3 linked regions of the Pelodiscus sinensis genome follow. The protein of the gene in region 3 purifies or fractionates together with the protein of the main gene of each other region. This does not show direct contact. Links are inferred from orthologs where the notes say so. Each region holds a gene or a part of one and is shown on either strand. Other genes may lie near its edges.

The links.
Region 1: the proteins of SMARCC2 (region 3) and SS18 purify together in Homo sapiens (affinity purification with mass spectrometry; 3 studies listed by BioGRID and IntAct, counting the BioPlex papers as one, with this or other methods). This does not show direct contact. The link is inferred for Pelodiscus sinensis from reciprocal best matches to the Homo sapiens genes SMARCC2 and SS18.
Region 2: the proteins of SMARCC2 (region 3) and BCL7C purify together in Homo sapiens (affinity purification with mass spectrometry; 4 studies listed by BioGRID and IntAct, counting the BioPlex papers as one, with this or other methods). This does not show direct contact. The link is inferred for Pelodiscus sinensis from reciprocal best matches to the Homo sapiens genes SMARCC2 and BCL7C.

The regions. Positions count from the first base shown.
Region 1 is NC_134712.1:76,224,668-76,231,580, forward strand, and holds the start of SS18 (protein SSXT), read left to right. Parts: upstream 1-3,834; 5' UTR 3,835-4,034; coding exon 4,035-4,103; intron 4,104-6,913. UniProt on the Homo sapiens protein: Appears to function synergistically with RBM14 as a transcriptional coactivator. Isoform 1 and isoform 2 function in nuclear receptor coactivation. Isoform 1 and isoform 2 function in general transcriptional coactivation.
Region 2 is NC_134714.1:134,097,654-134,104,592, reverse strand, and holds the start of BCL7C (B-cell CLL/lymphoma 7 protein family member C), read right to left. Parts: upstream 3,001-6,939; 5' UTR 2,744-3,000; coding exon 2,652-2,743; intron 1-2,651. UniProt on the Homo sapiens protein: May play an anti-apoptotic role.
Region 3 is NC_134729.1:4,054,814-4,061,929, reverse strand, and holds the start of SMARCC2 (SWI/SNF complex subunit SMARCC2), read right to left. Parts: upstream 3,059-7,116; 5' UTR 2,995-3,058; coding exon 2,884-2,994; intron 1-2,883. UniProt on the Homo sapiens protein: Involved in transcriptional activation and repression of select genes by chromatin remodeling (alteration of DNA-nucleosome topology).

The sequences.
Region 1 (6,913 bases), on a different chromosome or scaffold from region 3:
AAAGGGAAAATAAACAATAATAATAAAATAATAATAATACAATGTTTATTTATTATAGTTGAGATCTGCATAACCAATCAATTAATACATATATATATATATATAATTATAAAATATCACCATGTCATGTACTATTAGGTAATCGTTTTTAATTGTACTTTGCACACTTTTTATGAGGCAAACCCATCAATAATTGTGTTGTAATTAATATTATTCGCTACCTCGTGTTCTATTGATAAAATGGGACATATTTGATAATCTCTCCTGACCTGTGGATGCTTGAAGGTAGTTCTTAATTAATTTTAGTTTACTAAAACTTCTTTCAGAAGAAGCCATAGTCACTGGCAAGCAGAGAAATATTTGCAGGGCGATTTCAAAATTTGGATAAGATTCGGCCAGACTATATTCATAAATTAACTGTAGAAGGTCCAAACTAGTTGCAGATGAAATGTTTGGCAACAGCGCTAATGCCTGATGTTTAAAACTCTGAATCTCTGACAAAATTTCCGAGGCATTCAAATCGCTGCCATATTTAAAACTTAAATCTGCTGCTTTTTGAAGATTAGTAGTATCCATTTTAACAAAAGAATCTCCTGATAAAAAAATTGAAATCCGAAGAGCTCTCATTTAGCGTTTCATATCTCCAGTTTTAATTCAAATATTATGCAGTTAAATATGCTTTTATTTGTATTTTGAATGATTCTTCAGCTGATAAATTAACACTTTCATCTTGTGACTCAAAGCTGTTGTCTTTTAACTTTTCACTTTCTGCATTCTGTAAATTCTGCTGATATTTCTATATTTTGGACCGTTTTTTTACAATCAGTAAAAATATCTTCCACATAGCTCTTGTTTCCATGGATCATCTTAGAAGCCTGACAAACAGAAATGCCTTTTGCTTGTAACGCTTTATTCATTCTGGCAATGTGAGTTAGAATATTATGCCAAATGGATAACTGCACAAAAACTCAAAATTAATTTTTTAAGAAAGTTATTAGCTGCTAAAACTGTTTCAGCACATTTAGATGAAGCAGCAACATCATTTAGGACCTTAGTAACTTCTGAAATCTGCAAATTTAAAGCTGCAATTGAATTTGCTTTTGATGCCCATCTAGTATCAGCATGACCTTTTAGTGATACTTTTAATAAACCCATTAAAATATTCCAGCGGGTGGTAGAATTAGAAATAAAAAGTGTTTATTTTTGTACAGTGCCAAAGAATGAAACCATAGAGGAATTTACAGAAGCTGCATGTACTCCAACGAAATTGAGACTGTGGGCCAAGCACGGTACACAATTTGCAAATTTATTTATTGCAGAATGACAGCTTTGATGCCTTTGTACATGCCTGACATATTTGCACCATTATTGTACCCTTGGCCTCATGCGTTTTGAAGATCAATTCCATTCTTTTCAAACGTCTTTACTATTTCTTTGGCTAATCCACTTCCTGTTTTTTCCTTGGTCTCAATAAAGTCTATGAAACTTTCTTCTATAGTTATGATTCTATCATCAATTTTCACAGCTCACAATCTGAGATATTTGATCACGATGAGGTATATCTGGTGTATAATCCAGAAGCATAGAATAATATTTTGCTTTTTTAAAATTTTGGATATAATTTCAATTCGAACTTGGTTTGCTATTAACCCAATACAGCCGGTCCCCGAGTTACGAACGGTCGATTTATGACCGTTAGCACTTATGACCAAACCTCCCATTAAGCGGTCGTAAAGGTGGTTCCCGAGTTACGAACGCAACCCACGCTTATGAACAGCGCAGTCGCATGTAACTTAATGGGTCCGACTTATGAACACTTCGAGTTACGGCCACGTGTTTGGTTTGTAACTCAGGACCAGGTGTAAACTCATTTTGGATAGCCAGTGAAAAAGAGCTCACCGAACCTTTTTGTGAGTTACAATATGTTGTTTTAGTTCAACATCATAATGACTTATAAATTCCATTAGATTAAGAAATATTCCCGAATTAGGGTTTCCTATAACACTACTCAATCCTCTAAGTGGAAGATTATTTTTGGCACAAAAAATCTAGAATTATTTTCACGATATGTCTCCATTTTTGCTTATCAGCTTCAATAGCTTTTTTGTAGTGCATCATCAATATATTCTCTACTCAATCTTTTTCGCATGGATTTCCATTTACAGAAATTTTCATGACGAATGCTTGAATTTTCATGCTCTACAATACGGTTTAAATTTTTCAAAGCATTAAATCTGCTGGTTTTCTGATTTGCAATATTCAGTTTGGAAAAACGCTGATCAAATAATATGCATGGAAAACAAAAAAATGGCCTTACTAGTTTCAGAATAAATAAGCCAATTGCGCTCTAAAATTCTTCATTATAAAGCACTTTTTAAAACCAATCACCTGAAAATTTTTGGCCCTCTGATGATACTGATTCATGAAAATCCATGGTTTCTCTCTCGCCAGGTGCTTGTTCAATAAGATGGCATCTTATTTTGTCATTTATAGAGAGCCAAGATGGTGGATTGTTAAAATTTATTTATATTACAGTTGAATCTTGTTGATAGTCCTGGTCATTGTTAATGTCAATAATCATAATTGGTGACAAAGTTGAGACCTTGAGATTGAGCTTTTGGTCAATCTCAGAGTCAGAGATTGATGCTGAAGCTGTAATGTCAAGTTCCAGTTGCTGGTCTGTGGTAATAATCAGTACTGAAGTTGTATGATCATTGTCATCCGAGGGTTCAGCTAATGGTGCATTTTCAGTATTCAGTGCATTTTCCACTAGCCATTTCCCCATTTCTCTCAACATCTTTTCATTTTTCTCTCATGGTGAATTTTTGTCATTTAAGAAACTCTGCCCCAGAAGGTCATTTCCATTTGGAATTCATAATGTAGGATCTTTTTCTGAGTGGCCTAAATTCCGGCCTTGTTACGGCTCAGATGCAAAGCATATTTTACTACACCACCACTCAAGGGAGAGATGAGACACTCCCCTGCCCCACACCAACCAGAAGCAGAGCGACTCTGCTGGCGCTGGGATTGCAGGTTTGTGTCACTCCCCTTCCCCTACCTCCACCACCAGCTGCTAGTCAGTGCAGAGGCCTGGACCCCTGCAACGGTGCCCGACCACCTACTAGTCCCCCAAACCACATCACTGGGGCGGGCGGGAGAGGTGGGACAGGGTCCAGGGCAGGAAAGGGAAGAGGCTCAGAGATGTTATCCCGTCCCCCTCCTTCAGCAGTCTCCCCGGCACCTTAGTCGCTGGGGAATAGGGAGGTTAAGAACCTATAGACAACAACATTGCAAGTGCAGACTTTCCCCCTCCAGCCCCAGAAGCGACACCAACGTGAGTGCACGACTCCTGAGCAAGTCAGTTCCCAAATAAAACCACCTGTCCCTGCGCAAGTTGCAGCAGCTCCCGCCCGGACCCTTTAGAGGGGCCAGGCTCCTGCCCCAGCGGAGGGGATGGAACGTTCCCGGGGCCGGGACGCAGCAGCACGCGCTCCCAATAAGTCTCCTGCCCTCACTGCAACTTGCACAAGCCCCGCCCCGGGTCGCTCAGCCCAGGAACGTAATGACTAGGCGCAACCAAGACTGGGCGCGGGGGAGGAGGGGAAACGAGCCACTTTCTCCTGTAAAGTGAGCACTTCCAGCTCCCCCAACTCCCGGCCGTACCACTTGCAGCCTGTCTCAGGCTGAGAGCTCTGGGTAGGAGTGTACCATATTAGCAGGGGGGGCGGAATGCGCAACGAAAAGGACGCGCTTAAAGCAGGCAAGCGGCTGCTTCCTGTCAACGAAGCTGCTGCTCGCTAGGGGGAACGGGAGGGTCCCAGTTGTCGCTGGGGTTGCCACATGCGGTCGGAAGGCGGAGGGCAGTGGCAGCGAGGCTTGCACCCCCTCTTCTCGATCGGGATGGGCTGGCCCTGCGAGCCGTCACGCCCCCTCCCTCTCGCGGCGGTGAATGTTCTTCCCTGATCGCAGCCTCCTCCCGTCGCTGCTTGGCGCGCGGCCGGGGCGCTGGACCCTCGTGCGCGCAGGGAGCCGACATGTCGGTGGCGTTCGCGGCCCCGAGGCAGCGGGGCAAGGGCGAGATCACGCCGGCCGCCATCCAGAAGGTGAGGGAGGGGCCGGGCCCGACACGGGGCTGCTTCCGGCCCGGCCAGGGGGCGGCGACTGGCGGGGGCTGGAAACACGCCGGGGCAGGGCTGTGGCGCTAGGGGCGGAGGGCCCCCTGGGGAGGCAGGAGTGCGGGGGGGGGGCTGCGGAGGGGCCCCTGGGGAGGCAGGAGTGCGGGGGGGGGGGGGGGAATCTTCCCCAGGTGTGCAGAAGAGCCCTGGGCGCCTCCAAAGCGTCTCTCTTTCACCCACCCAAGTTGGTTCAATAGAATATTTTAAACACCATCTCCCCCCCCCCCACCATACACACACACACACACACACACTGCCCGCTCCACACCGTGTCTCTTAATTGGGGTAACGGGTCAGGCCAATAACTACCCCAGAGGTGTGTATTGGTTAACTGTCATATCTCACCTTTTGGGATGAACAGGCTTTTATCACTTCGGTCTTTGTCCAGTGCTTATTGGTGAGGTTAGACAAAACTACAGCGTCTCAATTTAGTTTTATTGATCCCTTTAAAAAAAAAAATCTTGCCTAGTAAGGAGGAGAGGTGGTTTGAGCAGAGCCTTGAGACTTAGGGTGCCCCTTAAGATTGTGATGGGCAAATACTGGCCCACAGGCTAGACTTGATCTGCCATAGTTAGCCTCCGATGATCGCTTTTCCCATCGGCTGTGAATCACTTCTTCCTGGCCACTGGGAAGGGTGGGTAAAGGTGTGGCCTGGACACTGCTTCCCACATCTCCCATTGGCCGGAACAGCAATCTTCAGCCAGCAGGAGCTGTGATTGCCAGTGCCTCTGGAGACACAGGTAAATATAGCGGAGGAAGCCTGTCAGGGTATAACCCACACTGTTTTATTGCTCACCCCTGCTCTAGGTGCTATTATAGGCACTGCTGATATCTTGGTATGTGCTTCTGTGATTAAAGAAAATCACCTCACTGTTTACCCCTTTCTCTAGAGCATTTATAAATAAGTTGGATAGAATTAGTCCCTGGACAGACCCTTGGGGGACCCCACTAGTTGCCTCTCTCCACTCAACATTTACCATTTATTGCTACCTTTAGTTTCCTTTTAACCAGTTATCAGTCCATGAAAGTACTTTCCCTCTAAGAATACTATATCCACTGCATCCCTCTTGTCCACATGCTTGTTGACACCACTCAGAGAACTCTAGTAGATTAGTTAAGGCATGATTTCCCTTTACAGAAACCATGTTGTCTTTCCTTCAACAAATTATGTTCATTTATGTGTCTGACAATTTTAGTTTCAACTAATTTGCCCGGTACTGACATTAGACTTACCAGTCTGTAATTTCCAGGATCATTTCTAGAGCCCTTTTAAAATATTGGTGTCACGTTAGCTATCTTCCAGTCACTAGGTACAGAAGCCGATTTAAAAGATAAATTACAAACCACAGTTAATAGTTACGTACTTTCACATTTGAGTTCTGAAAGAACTCTTGGGTGAATGCCATCTGGTCCCAGTGACTTGTTACTGTTAAGTTTATCGATTTGTTCCAAAACCTCCTCTGGGACAATTACTCAGATTTGTCACTTAAAAAGAATGACTCAAGTTTTGGGAATCTAAGACCGAAGCAAAGAATTCATTTAGTTTTTCCACAATTACCTTATCTTTGAGTGCTTCTTTGGCATCTCCATTGTCCAGAGGCCCCACTGGTTGTTTAGCAAGCTTCTTGCTTCTGATGTACTTAAACATTTTGCTATTACTGTTTGATTTTTTTTGACTAGCTGTTCTTCAAACTCCTTTTTGACTACTTATATTTTTTACACTTAATTTGACAGAGTTTATGCTCCTTTCTATTTTCCTCACTAGGATTTAACTTCCACTTTTTAAAACATTGCCTTTTTATCTCTTACTGCTTCTTGGTTATGTCAAGTCATGGTGGCACTTTTTTTGTTTCTTTTACTGTTTTAAATTTTGGGTATACATTTAAGTTGGGACTCTATTATGGTGTCTTTGAAAAGTTTCCATTCAGCTTGCAGGGATTTTACTTTTGTCACTGTACCGTTCAATTTCTGTTTAACTAACCTCCTCATTTTTGTTCCCATTTATGAAATTAAATGCCATAGTGTTGGACTGCTGAGGCATTTTGCCCACCACAGGGATGTTAAATTTTATTACATTATGGTCACTATTTCCAAGTGGTCCAGTTATATATACCTCTTGGACCATATGCTGTGCTCCACTTTTGACTAAATCAAGATTTGTCTCTTCCCCTTGTGTATTCCAGAACCAGCTGCTCCAAGAAGCAGTCATTTAAGGGATCAAGAAATTTTATCTCTGCATCCCATCCTGAGGTGCCGTGTAATCAGTCAATATGGGGATAGGTGAAATCCCCTACTATACTGAGTTTTTTATTTTGATAGCCTCTCTAATCTCCCTTAGCATATCATAGTCACTATCACTGTCCTGATCAGGTGGTCAATAATATATCATTACTGCTATATTCTTATTATTGGAGCATGGAATTACTACCCATAAAAATTCTATGGAATATTTTGGCTCATTTCAGATTTTTACTTCACTTGATTCTACATTTTCTTTCACGTATAGTGCCACTCCGCCATGAGCATGACCTGTTCTGTCCTTCTGATGTATTTTGTACCCTGATATGACTGTCCCCCATTGATTACTTTCATTCCACCAAGTTTGTGATGCCTATTATATCAATATCCTCCTTTAATACGAGGCACCCTAGTTCACCCATCTTAATATTTAGACTTCTAATGCTGATAATCACTAAGTCCTTAATGGTCTCAGTGAAATCTCTGACTCTTCCCTTTTT
Region 2 (6,939 bases), on a different chromosome or scaffold from region 3:
AATCGCATCCTCCCCAAGTTAAAATACAGACTCCCTTAAAGAGCAGCAATAGTAAGTTGTTATCTTCTCTTGTCCAGCAGATGACTGTCTGACATATTATCCAGAGTAAAGAACTTGACAGCTAGTCACATCTCAGAAGCAATTTCCATAGAGAAAGGGAGGTGAACAATACACACAATAATTAAATAATGGACGAATAACTAATTGCCATAATTAAGAGCCTGCTCCTGCATTTGGCCACAGGAGTTACTTTAAAGAAGATGGCACCACCTCTGGGGTAGGATAAATGGGGAAAGCCACCCAGCGAGACTGCATGGGGCTGGCTGGCCCAGCGCTGAGATGCATCTGGTTCTGGGGTGGGGCACTTGGGGGAACAGCCGCACATAACACCACCTGGGGCTGACTCGCCTGGCACTGAGATGAAGCCAGCTCTGGGGCAGGGCAGCTGGGGGAACGGCCGCACATAACGCTGCGTGGGGCTGACTCACCCGGCTCTGAGATGCAGCCAGCTCTGGGGCAGGGTACCTGGGGGAACAGCCGCACATAACGCCACGTGGGGCTAGCTCACCCAGCCCTGAGATGCAGCCAGCTCTGGGGCAGGGTACCTGGGGGAACAGCCGCACATAACGCTGCGTGGGGCTGACTCGCCCGGCTCTGAGATGCAGCCAGCTCTGGGGCAGGGCACCCGAGGGAACAGCCACACACAAGGCCGCGTGGAGGTGACTCGCCCGGCTCTGAGATGCAGCCAGCTCTGGGGCAGGGCACCCGGGGGAACGGCCGCACATAACGCCGCATGGGGCTAGCTCACCCGGCTCTGAGATGCAGCCAGCTCTGGGGCAGGACACCCGGGGGAACGGCCGCACATAACGCCGCGTGGGGCTAGCTCACCCGGCCCTGAGATGCAGCCAGCTCTGGGGCAGGACACCCAGGGGAACGGCCGCACATAACGCCGTGTGGGGCTAGCTCACCCAGCTCTGAGATGCAGCCAGCTCTGGGGCAGGACACCCGGGGGAACGGCCGCACATAACGCCGTGTGGGGCTAGCTCACCCGGCCCTGAGATGCAGCCAGCTCTGGGACAGGACACCCGGGGGAACGGCTGCACATAATGCCGCGTGGGGCTAGCTCACCTGGCCCTGAGATGCAGCCAGCTCTGGGACAGGACACCCGAGGGAACGGCCGCACATAACGCCGCGTGGGGCTAGCTCACCCGGCTCTGAGATGCAGCCAGCTCTGGGGCAGGACACCCGGGGGAACAGCCGCACATAACGCCGCATGGGGCTAGCTCACCCGGCTCTGAGATGCAGCCAGCTCTGGGGCAGGGCATCCGGGGGAACAGCCGCACATAACCCCGCGGGGGCTGACTCACCCGGCCCTGAGATGCAGCCAGCTCTGGGGCAGGGCACCCGGGGGAACAGCCGCACATAACGCCGTGGGGGCTGACTCACCCGGCCCTGAGATGCAGCCAGCTCTGGGGCAGGGCACCCGGGGGAACAGCCGCACATAACGCTGCGGGGGCTGACTCACCCGGCTCTGAGATGCAGCCAGCTCTGGGGCAGGACACCCGGGGGAACGGCCGCACATAACGCCGCGTGGGGCTAGCTCACCCGGCCCTGAGATGCAGCCAGCTCTGGGGCAGGGCACCCGGGGGAACGGCCGCACATAACGCCGTGGGGGCTGACTCACCCGGCCCTGAGATGCAGCCAGCTCTGGGGCAGGGCACCCGGGGGAACAGCCGCACATAACGCCGCGGGGGCTGACTCACCCGACTCTGAGATGCAGCCAGCTCTGGGGCAGGACACCCGGGGGAACGGCCGCACATAACGCCGCGTGGGGCTAGCTCACCCGGCCCTGAGATGCAGCCAGCTCTGGGGCAGGGCACCCGGGGGAACGGCCGCACATAACGCTGCGGGGGCTGACTCACCCGGCCCTGAGATGCAGCCAGCTCTGGGGCAGGGCACCCGGGGGAACAGCCGCACATAACGCCGCGGGGGCTGACTCACCCGGCTCTGAGATGCAGCCAGCTCTGGGGCAGGACACCCGGGGGAACGGCCGCACATAACGCCGCGTGGGGCTAGCTCACCCGGCCCTGAGATGCAGCCAGCTCTGGGGCAGGGCATCCGGGGGAACAGCCGCACATAACGCCGTGTGGGGCTAGCTCACCCGGCCCTGAGATGCAGCCAGCTCTGGGGCAGGGCACCCGAGGGAACGGCCGCACATAACGCCGCGTGGGGCTAGCTCACCCGGCTCTGAGATGCAGCCAGCTCTGGGGCAGGACACCCGGGGGAACAGCCGCACATAACGCCGTGTGGGGCTAGCTCACCCGGCTCTGAGATGCAGCCAGCTCTGGGGCAGGACACCCAGGGGAACGGCCGCACATAACGCCGCGGGGGCTGACTCACCCGGCTCTGAGATGCAGCCAGCTCTGGGGCAGGACACCCGGGGGAACAGCCGCACATAACGCCGTGGGGGCTGACTCACCCGGCCCTGAGATGCAGCCAGCTCTGGGGCAGGACACCCAGGGGAACGGCCGCACATAACGCCGCATGGGGCTAGCTCACCCGGCTCTGAGATGCAGCCAGCTCTGGGGCAGGGCACCCGGGGGAACAGCCGCACACAAGGCCGCCCGTCTCCCGCACACCCTGCCGCTCACCATCGGCGCACTCTCTCGATGGCTGCCATCACCTTCTTGATGTCATCCTTGGCCCGGCTGCGGGTCTCGGCCCGCACGGTGCGCCCGGCCATGGGGACGGGACCCCGGGGCGCCGGGCGGGTCACTGCGCGCGGGTCCGGCTCGCTGGCCCTGGCTCCGCGCAGAACCGCCCCGCGCCGACCGAGCTCGCTGCGGGAGGCGGAGCGGAAGCGAACTCGGGCTTCCGCGGGCAGAGCCGGGGCCGGGCGGGCCTGGGGGGCGGGACTCCGGCTTCTCCGCAAGAGACACGCGCACCCCCGCGAGCCGGGCTGGGTCCCGCACCCCCTGCCCCCCCACAACCCCGACCCCCCCACTATATTCCCCCCCGCCAGCGAGGAACCCGGGTGTTCGGCCTCCCCCCCACTATATCCCCCCCCCCCGCCAGCGAGGAACCCGGGTGTTCGGCCCCCCCCACTATATCCGCCCCCGGCAGCGAGGAACCCGGGTGTTCGGCCTCCCCCCACTATATCCCCCCCGCCAGCGAGGAACCCGGGTGTTCGGCCCCCCCCACTATATCCCCCCCGCCAGCGAGGAACCCGGGTGTTCGGCCCCCCCCACTATATCCCCCCCGCCAGCGAGGAACCCGGGTGTTCGGCCTCCCCCCACTATATCCCCCCCGCCAGCGAGGAACCCGGGTGTTCGGCCCCCCCCACTATATCCCCCCCGCCAGCGAGGAACCCGGGTGTTCGGCCTCCCCCCCACTATATCCCCCCCGCCAGCGAGGAACCCGGGTGTTCGGCCTCCCCCCCACTATATCCCCCCCGCCAGCGAGGAACCCGGGTGTTCGGCCTCCCCCCCACTATATCCCCCCCCGCCAGCGAGGAACCCGGGTGTTCGGCCTCCCCCCCACTATATCCCCCCCGCCAGCGAGGAACCCGGGTGTTCGGCCCCCCCCCCCACTATATCCCTCCCGCCAGCGAGGAACCCGGGTGTTCGGCCTCCCCCCCACTATATCCCCCCCGCCAGCGAGGAACCCGGGTGTTCGGCCCCCCCCCCACTATATCCCTCCCGCCAGCGAGGAACCCGGGTGTTCGGCCCCCCCCACTATATCCGCCCCCGCCAGCGAGGAACCCGGGTGTTCGGCCTCCCCCCACTATATCCCCCCCGCCAGCGAGGAACCCGGGTGTTCGGCCCCCCCCCCACTATATCCCTCCCGCCAGCGAGGAACCCGGGTGTTCGGCCTCCCCCCACTATATCCCCCCCCCCCGCCAGCGAGGAACCCGGGTGTTCGGCCTCCCCCCCACTATATCCCCCCCCCGCCAGCGAGGAACCCGGGTGTTCGGCCCCCCCCACTATATCCGCCCCCGCCAGCGAGGAACCCGGGTGTTCGGCCTCCCCCCACTATATCCCCCCCCCCCCGCCAGCGAGGAACCCGGGTGTTCGGCCTCCCCCCACTATATCCCCCTCCCCGCCAGCGAGGAACCCGGGTGTTCGGCCTCCCCCCACTATATCCCCCCCCGCCAGCGAGGAACCCGGGTGTTCGGCCTCCCCCCACTATATCCCCCCCCCCGCCAGCGAGGAACCCGGGTGTTCGGCCTCCCCCCACTATATCCCCCCCCCCGCCAGCGAGGAACCCGGGTGTTCGGCCTCCCCCCACTATATCCCCCCCCGCCAGCGAGGAACCCGGGTGACCGACACCCCCCCCGCCAGCGAGGAACCCGGGTGACCGACACCCCCCCCCACTATATCCCCCCCCCGCCAGCGAGGAACCCGGGTGACCGACACCCCCCCCACTATATCCCCCCCCCGCCAGCGAGGAACCCGGGTGACCGACACCCCCCCCCACTATATTTCCCCCCCCCCCGCCAGCGAGGAACCCGGGTGACCGACACCCCCCCCACTATATCCCCCCCCGCCAGCGAGGAACCCGGGTGTCTGGCCTCCCCCCCACTATATCCCCCCGCCAGCGAGGAAGAGGATGTCTGCCCCCCCCATATCCCCTACACCAGCGAAGAACCCGGGTGTCCGACTCCCCCCCCCCCCACTATATCCCTCCCCCGCCAGCGAGGAACCCGGGTGTCCAGCCTCCCCCCCCCACTATATCCCTCCCCCCCCGCCAGCGAGGAACCCGGGTGTCCAGCCTCCCCCCCCCACTATATCCCTCCCCCCCCACTATATCCCTCCCCCGCCAGCGAGGAACCCGGGTGTCTGGCCTCCCCCCCACTATATCCCCCCGCCAGCGAGGAACCCGGGTGTCTGGCCTCCCCCCCACTATATCCCCCCGCCAGCGAGGAAGAGGATGTCTGCCCCCCCCATATCCCCTACACCAGCGAAGAACCCGGGTGTCCGACTCCCCCCCCCCCCACTATATCCCTCCCCCGCCAGCGAGGAACCCGGGTGTCCAGCCTCCCCCCCCACTATATCCCTCCCCCCCACTATATCCCTCCCCCGCCAGCGAGGAACCCGGGTGTCCAGCCTTCCCCCCCCCCACTATATCCCCCCCCACCAGCGAGGAACCCGGGTGTCCAGCCTTCCCCCCCCCCACTATATCCCCCCCCACCAGCGAGGAACCCGGGTGTCCAGCCTTCCCCCCCCCCACTATATCCCCCCCCACCAGCGAGGAACCTGGTTGTTCGGCCTCCCCCCCACTATTTCCCCCCCACCAGCGAGGAACCCGGGTGTCTGGCCTCCCCCCCACTATATCCCCCCCCCCGCCAGCAAGGAACCCAGGTGTCCCGCCTCCCACCCCCCACCCACTAGATCCTGCCCCCAGCCAGAGAAGAACCCAGGTGTACTGCCTCCCCGCCCCCCCACTAGATCCCTGCCCAGTCAGGAGAGAGCCCTGGTGTCCTGTCCCCCACCACAGGACCCCCCCAGTCAGGGGAGAGCCCGGATATCCGGCCTCCCCACCTTGCTGCAATTCCTAGACCCAGAACCCAGGAGTCCCGGCTCCTACCCCTTCCCCCCCCTTTAATCCTGGCAGTAGCTCAGCAGGGATTACAATGGAGGGGCCTGGGGTTAGACACTGAGCTCATTGTGCTGGGGTGACTCACCCTGGAGCAGGCTGGGGGGGTCACCATTACCTCAGCCGCCCACGGGCAGGAACCTGCTGCGGGGGGGGGGGCTATAGGTCTGGAGTGAGGGAAACGAGGGGGGGGCTGGGCTGGCAGGGGCTGCGGGGTGGGAGTGAGGGGCAGGACTGGGCTGGGGGCAGGAGTGAGGGGCAGGGCTGGGGGGCCGGGAGTGAGGGACAGGACTGGGCTGGTGGGGGCTGGGGGGCAGGAGTGAGGGGCACTGGCAGGGCTGGCGGGGGCTGGAGGGCAGGAGTGAGTGGCAGGGCAGGGCTGGCGGGGGCTGGGGGGCGGGAGTGAGGGGCAGGACTGGGCTGGCGGGGGCTGGGGGGCGAGAGTGAGGGGCAGGACTGGGCTGGCGGGGGCTGGGGGGCGGGAGTGAGGGGCAGGACTGGGCTGGCGGGGGCTGGGGGGCGGGAGTGAGGGGCAGGGCTGGGCTGGCGGGGGTTGGGGGGTGGGAGTGAGGGGCAGGACTGGGCTGGCAGGGGCTGGGGGGTGGGAGTGAGGGGCAGGACTGGGCTGGCGGGGGCTGGGGGGTGGAAGTGAGGGGCAGGACTGGGCTGGCGGGGGCTGGGGGGTGGGAGTGAGGGGCAGGACTGGGCTGGCGGGGGCTGGGGGGTGGGAGTGAGGGGCAGGGCTGGGCTTGTGGGGGCTGTGGGGCGGGAGTGAGGAGCGCCGGCAGGGCTGGGGGGCGGGAGTGAGGGGCAGGGCTGGGCTTGTGGGGGCTGTGGGGTGGGAGTGAGGGGCACCGGCTGGGCTGGGGGGTGGGAGTGAGGGGCACCGGCAGGGCTGGGGGCAGGGCTGGGGGGCGGGAGTGAGGGGCGCCGGCAGGGCTGGGAGGCGGGAATGAGGGGCACCGGCAGGGCTGGGGGCGCAGCTGGGGGTGTGTACCTGCAGCTCGGTGGACCCTGTACCTCGCTGCCTCCTGTCTTTGCACGTAGAGAGGCTTAGGAAAGCCCAGAAGCCCCCTGCTGACGGGTGGGGGGGTCTGTGGATTTCCGCAGAGCTGGGTCACATAGGGAGGGTCCGAGGTGTTACCCCTGCTCCCAGCCACCCCTCTAACCACTGCACCCCGCTTCCCTCCCAAAGCTGGGCTGGAGCGCTGCACTCCTGGCTCCCAGCCTCCCCCACTCTAACCACTAGGCCCCACCATCTCTCTCCAAAGCTGACTAATGGGAATATGGGGGTGGAGGGCCGGGGGGCGGGGGAAAGGAACTGAGTTTCTTCCAGGTACTGTT
Region 3 (7,116 bases):
TCCAACCCTAGAAAGAAGAGGCCTATGAAATCTCAGGGCCCCTCTGGCAGAGCCCCAGCTGAAGCTAGATGGCCCAGCAGGTGGGGAGAGGCTGAGGGGATCGCTGGCTGGGATGTTCTGTCCCCAAGGGTGCCTTTTGTCAGACTGAGTGCAGCTCTTTTTAAACAGAGGCAGCATTGGGGGCCTGGCCCTGGGGTCTGTCTGGGAACCAAGACTCCCAGGAAATAAACAAGCAGATCATATCGGCCATTCCATACAAAGGCCTTTCCCTGAGGACCATGAATTGCAAGGGGCAGGAATTTGGCTGACCACGGTCCCGCCTCTGCCCCAAGGAATGGCTTCTTCATCTTTCCCTGGGCCGCTTTCTCCTTCCACACTTTGTCTTGCCTGTGATGACTGAGAGAAGGACGGTCTCTCGCCATGTGTCTGTCCAGCACCCAGCCCAAGGGTGCCCTGATGGCGTTTGGTTCCCCCCCTCCAGCATCACTGGAATAATCCAGAGCAATAAACTGCGCTTGTTTCAAACTCTGAGGCAACCCAAAGCAAATGCCCCATGTAGCTATCTGTAGATGACAGAACAAGGGGCAATGGTCTCAGGTTGCCGTGGGGGAGGTAGAGGTTGGTTATTAGGAAAAGCTAATTCCCTAGTAGGGTGGGAAGCGCTGGGATGGGTTGCCTAGGGAGGTGACGGCATCTCTATCCTTAGAAGTTTTAAGCCCCGGCTTGCCAAAAGCCCTGGCTAGGGCAATGTAGTTGCGGTTGGTCCTGCTTTGAGGACGACTGCCTGAGGTCTCATCCAACTCTAGGATTCTGCTGGAGGTGACGCGTATTTCACCCAATTGGTATGGGTGTGGGCACAGAGATGATAGTCAGCAGGCAGCCTGGCACATGGGGGCAGAGCCTTTAGCTGAAGATAGTTAGGGGGAGGGGAGTGAAGGACGTAGGAACGGCCGCACTGGGGCAGACCAATGGCCTCTCCAGCCCAGCCGCCTGTCTTTCACAGTGGCGGTCGCCAGGGCTTCAGAGGGAATGAACAGAAGAGGGCAATTAGCTAGCGAGCCATCCCCTGTCCGCCAGTCCCAGCTTCCGGCAGTGGTTCAACCCTGCGAGGGTGTGAAAAGGCCAATTCCCAGTGAGCAGGGATGGCCAGGTCAGCCTGTCACTCCAGAGCCAGGAGCTGTCTGGTGACTCAGCTTCTCGCTGCCTGTGGAAGGTCAAAGGCAACAGCCTGGGAACCACAGACCCATGCTGCTTGCATGACAGCACAAGGGGGAGGCGAGGGGGTTGGAAGAGCCAGGTGGGGCCCGCAGGACCCCGCCCACACGCCCTATGCTGAGACAGCGCAGCAGGTGGCTGGATGATCGTAACCCTAAAGCTACCCTTGCAAAGAAAAGACTCCTCGCAGCCCAGATCTGGTGACGGTTTCACGGGAGTGAGGGATCCCAAGCCCTAGTATAGGGGCTTGGCTCGGTCACTTTTCCCCGCACACAGGCTGGCCTTTGTCTCGGCACAGGCAGGCAAAAGGACTTGGGTGAAAGATGGACAAGGATCCGAGGGGAGACCGACGTTATCAGCTGCGGGGCTGGGCCCCCCCGAGAGGGGATAGGAAATGGAGCAGTTCCTAGTGGGAGCCTGGCTCGCATCTCCGCACACCAGGAAGGGACACGGCTCCCAGCCACGGTGGGTGAGATGGGGGACCCAAGAGAGTGTTAAGGGGGCACCTTCCCCAGGACAGATGTGGTTAGGTGGGGAACAACCCCCCTCCCCCTTCCTGTACAAATCAGATCAGCCCCATGCACTGTAAGGCCTCTGCGGAGCTGGGGGGAGTAGAGGGGGAATTCAATGAGGTGCTGAGACAGGGGTAGGTGATTGGAAGGGAATTAAGGCGCTGGAAGGCGGAACAGGAGGGTCGCTGGGGGTGAACGAGGGGTTCAGGCAAGGAGGGGAAAGAGGCTGTAATGGAGGAGCAGGGAAGGGACTGCATAGGGGAACGGGGGCCCTGAGGAGATGGGAAGGGGCTGAGGGAATTCAGTGGAGGCGGGGGTTGTGAGCTGCCAGTGAGGCTGGGGATCAGCAGGGAGGATGGGGCACGGGGGATGTGGGTCAGTATGGAGCACAGGTGCCAGTGGGGCACAGAGGATGGGGGTCAATGGAGAGGGCAGGCACCAGTGGGGCATAGAGAACTGAAGTCAGTGGTTAGGACAGGCACCAGTGGAACATGAGGGGGGAGTGTCAGTGGGGAGGACAGACACTGGTGGGGCACGGGGGAGGGGGTCAGGGGGGAGGACAGACACTGGTGGGGCACGGGGGAGGGGGTCAGGGGGGAGGACAGACACTGGTGGGGCACGGGGGAGGGGGTCAGGGGGGAGGACAGACACTGGTGGGGCACGGGGGAGGGGGTCAGTGGGGAGGACAGACACTGGTGGGGCACGGGGGAGGGGGTCAGGGGGGAGGACAGACACTGGTGGGGCACGGGGGAGGGGGTCAGGGGGGAGGACAGACACTGGTGGGGCACGGGGGAGGGGGTCAGGGGGGAGGACAGACACTGGTGGGGCACGGGGGAGGGGGTCAGGGGGGAGGACAGACACTGGTGGGGCACGGGGGAGGGGGTCGGTGGGGAGGACAGGCACGGGGGGGGGGACAGACACTGGGGGGGGCAGACACTGGGGGAAACGGGGGTCGGTGGGGAGGACAGGCGCACGGAGGGGCACGGGGGGGCACGGGGGCGGGTGAGATGTGGGTGACCCAGGGGGCTCGAGGCGGGCTGACGCCTGTCAGTGGGGTGCGGCGATTGGGGGGGCAGAAGGGGCGGGGGGAGGGGCCCGAGGAGCGGGGGCCCGTGGGGGGCGAGGCGCAGGGCGGGGGGGCCGGCCGGGCCGGTACCTTCTTGTAGTTCTTGCCCAGCCAGAGCCGCGCGCTGTCGAACTGCCCCACCGTGTCCGCGGCCTCGTAGTACTTGACGTTGGGGCCGCCGTCCTTCTTCCGCACCGCCATCTTCCCGCCGCGCAGCGCCCCCTGCCGGCCGCCCGCCGCCCCGCGCCGCCATCTTCCCGCCGCGCAGCGCCCCCTGCCGGCCGCCCGCCGCCCCGCGCCGCCATCTTCCCGCCGCGCAGCGCCCCCTGCCGGCCGCCGGCCGCCCCGCGCCGCCATCTTCCCGCCGCGCAGCGCCCCCTGCCGGCCGCCCGCCGCCCCGCGCCGCCATCTTCCCGCCGCGCGGCGCCCCCTGCCGGCCGCCGGCCGCCCCGCGCCGCCATCTTCCCGCCGCGCGGCGCCCCCTGCCGGCCGCCCGCCGCCATCTTCCCGCCGCGCGGCGCCCCCTGCCGGCCAGCCGCCGCCATCTTCCCGTCGCGCAGCGCCGGGGCGATGGGGGGGGCGGGTTGTGGGGCTATGGGGGGGATCTCTGGGGTGGGGGGGTGCATGGGGGGAGGCGGTGGGGGGGGCTATGAAAATTGCTCCCGGGCTGAGAGGAAGTCCGGGGGGGGAGGGGCTGTGGGGATCGCTGGGGTTGGGGGGGGGGGTTCCGTGGGGCGGGGGCTGGAGGTTTCGAGGGGAGAAGAGGGGGCTGGGGGTCCCGTGGGGAGGGGCTGGGGTGCCATGGCGGAGGGGGCGGCTGTGGGGCTATATGGGTATCGCTGGGACTGGGGGGTCCCGTGGGGAGGGGGCAGAGGAAGCTGTGGGGATGCCGGGGGGGAGGGGGCTGTGGGGCACAGGGGGCTATGGGGATGGCAGAATGGGGGGACAGAGGAGGCTATAGAGGTTCGGGGAGGGGGCTGTGGGGTGGGGGCTGTGGGGCATAGGGAGATGGGGGGGTCTCAGGATGGGAGCAGCGGGGAGCTCTGGGGATAGGCGGGGAGAGGCCGTGGGGCGCACTGGGAAAGCCGTGGCCAGGAGGGGCGGGCCCGGCCCTGTGGTGGAGGGGAGCAGGGGGTCACGATGGGGTTGGGGGGCACTCGGGGGTCTGCAGCACGCGTGGGGGGAGGAAGATTCTGTTGCTCCCCCCCCCGCCCCTCTCCTATGTGGATCTTCTAGCCGGAGCTCGGCGAAGCCCTGGCCGGGTGTCACGGTGGCCGAGTGGTTAAGGCGTTGGACTCGAAATCCAATGGGGTTTCCCCGCACAGGTTCGAATCCTGTTCGTGACGGCGACTCGTTTTTGTGGGGAAGGCCCAGGCGTTAAACCCACCTTTTAAAAAAACACTTGGGGAGAGGGCGGGCGCTTTAGGCACAGGCAGGGCTGTGGGGGTGAGTATGTTGTGTTTGCATTTGCCGGCAGACAGGAGGGGGCAGTGCTGCGGGGAGGGGGGCGCACATCTGACCTGGGGGGTGTAGAATACAGGTGGCAATCCCTGAACTGGGGGATTCCAGAGCTGGTGGCCCTCTGCTACAGAGGGCTATGCTGGGGGCATGCAGAGCTGCTTGGGGTGCACCTAGGCTGCTTAGGGGGTGCAGAGCTGGCTGGGGGGTGCAGAGCTGCCTGGGGTGCATCTAAGCTGGGTGAAGGGTGCAGAGCTAGCTGGGGTGTATTTAGGCTGCGTGGGGGGGTGCAAAGGCATTTGGGGTACATCTGGGCTGGGTATGGGATGCAGAGCTAGTAGGGGGCACATGTGGGTTGTGGGAGGGGGGGCTGCAGAGCTGGTAGGAAGGACACAGCTGGATGGGGGGATGCCAGAGGAGGGCAGGGATTCATCTGTATGTGTGTGTGGGGTATGTGATCTGCTATTGCAAAACTCGTGGGGGGCACAGCAGTACTATCTGTGGGGCAGGGGACACAGCTGGCTGGAGGAATGGGGGAGGGGCGTTAGCAGAACTTGCTAGCACAACTTGATTTGCTCTGGGTGTAGCAGCTGGGGGATACCTGACTTGCCAGGGAGTTGGCTAGAAAGGTGGATTTGCTTTGCAGGTCAGTGGGTAGAAAAGCAGCAGGGGGCAGGGGAGACTGGCAGAGTATGGGGCTCTCCAGGGAAGCAAGCCCCTCTTTGCCGGGGACCACCCCAGGGCGCTTTGGGATGAGGCAGAGCATAGAGGCCAGGTCCTAGCAAGACCCCCACCCCTCTTGCAACAGGATCAAGGGTTGGCCCTTTGTTCCCATTGCTTCGGGCAAGCCCCATTCTGGCCTCCCAGGCAGAGAGCAGAGCATGCAGCCACCCTGCAGCAGGGTCAGGAATGTGAACCCCGATCTCCCGTGGCCTTGCCCTGGCGTCTAGCTCAGACGCCCGGCCAGCCTCTGAGAGCTTGGGGGAGCGGGTGTGGGGCCTGAACTGGCCGGGCAGGGGGGAGCTCCCCGAATACCTGCAAAGCTGCCACCTTCTAGTCCCACTTTAAAACCCACCTGTGCTAGGAAACCTGCTGGGCCGGGTCTTTGCTGAGCACTGTGGGCCCAAGGGTTCTCCTGCTGCCCCGATAGGCTGCCTGTGTCCAGCTAAGGGCTCATGTCTTAGGCTTAGATCGTTCCCCTTTGTTTGTACAGTACCTAGCACTGTAGGGTCCAGGCCCATGACTGGACCTATCGGTGCAGCAGTAATGCCTGGCACAGGTTTAGCCTTCCTGTCACAGTGGCCGACGTAGCCCTCAAATCCAAGCTTCGTTTTAAACCCAGGTGTAGTTCCATTCCCCACAGCCCCCCACGACCAGGATCACGTTTCACTTCCAGAGGAAGGTGCCAAAAATCCCCCTGGGGCAGATGGGGGGGGGTAACGCTTGTCTCCGCTGAACCCCTAACTCAGCTTGCCTGAAATCCTGCAGCATGGCATAGGCAAAGCTCCCCCGCCCCAGGAGACCCTGCGTGCCACGGGCCTTTTGTCTACAGGCCAGATATTGTGCCTGCCCCAGGAGCAGGGGGGCTCTTTTGTCGCAGGAGCTCCCTTGTCCAAGCTTGGCCAAAGACTCTCAGCAGCTGGCTGCTTTATAGCCAGTTTCCCACATTCTCGGGCCTGTAGCTGGGGGCAGCTTTTCAGCCTGGCCCCCAGGACCTGGGCTCACGGGACAGTCTGGCCCTTCACAGCTCCATGAATCCGCTTACCCGTCGGTAATGTCCTGCCAGCGGCAGGGTGAGCTTATCAGGCCCAGTAGCACATGCAGGGCGCCTGGCACAATGGGCGCTGAGTGCGGGTGAGATCCCAAGCCCTCTGAGAAAGGCCGAAATAGAAGGGGGAGCTTTTCCCAGCTGCTTTCTGCAGGACAAGAAGCCCCGGAGGCCTAGCCTGGGCAGCTGCGGGGTGTTTAAACCCCATCCCGGGCTGCGGAGATGGAATTGCTGATTGGGAGCCAGCTGAGTTCTCGGGCCTGGCGTGGGGCAGGGCAAGTGGTGCCGTGTCATTCACAGGTGCCCAGGGACCCAAGGTCAGCTCCCAGACAAATGCACTAGGCAACGCAGTATGGAAAGGAGGTGGGCAGCCCTTGGTGGGGAAGGAACAAGTTAGGAACGATTTAGAAAAGCTAAACGTGCACACATCCATGGGCCCGGATTTAATGCACCCGAGGGTACTGAGGGAGTTGGCAAATGTAATTGCAGAGCCTTTGGCCATTAGCTTTGAAAACTCGTGGAGATCGGGAGAGATCCCGGATGACTGGAAAAAGGCAAATGTAGTGCCCATCTTTAAAAAAGGGAAGGACAATCCAGGGAACTACAGACCAGTCAGCCTCACCTTGGTCCCCGGAAAAATTATGGAGGGGATCCTCAAGGAATCCATTTTGAAGCACTTGGAAGAGGGGAAAGTGATCAGGAATAGTCAGCATGGATTCACGAAGGGCAAGTCGTATCTGACCAATCTGATTAGCCTCTATGATGAGGTAACTGGCTCTGTGGACATGGTAAAGTCAGTGGATGTGATATATCTTGACTTTAGCAAAGCTCCTGATATAGTCTCCCACAATATTCTTGCCAGCAAATTAAGGGAGAATGGATTGAATAAAAGGACTGTAAGATGGATAGAAAGCTGGCTAGACTGTCTGGCCCAATGGGTGGTGATAAACGACTCGGGGTTAGGTTGGCGGTCGGTTGCTAGCAAAGTACCCCAAGGATCTGTTCTTGGACCAGTTTTGTTCAACATCTTCATTAATGACCTGGAGGAGGGGATGGATGGCACCCTCAGCAAGTTCGCAGATGACACTAAGCGAGGG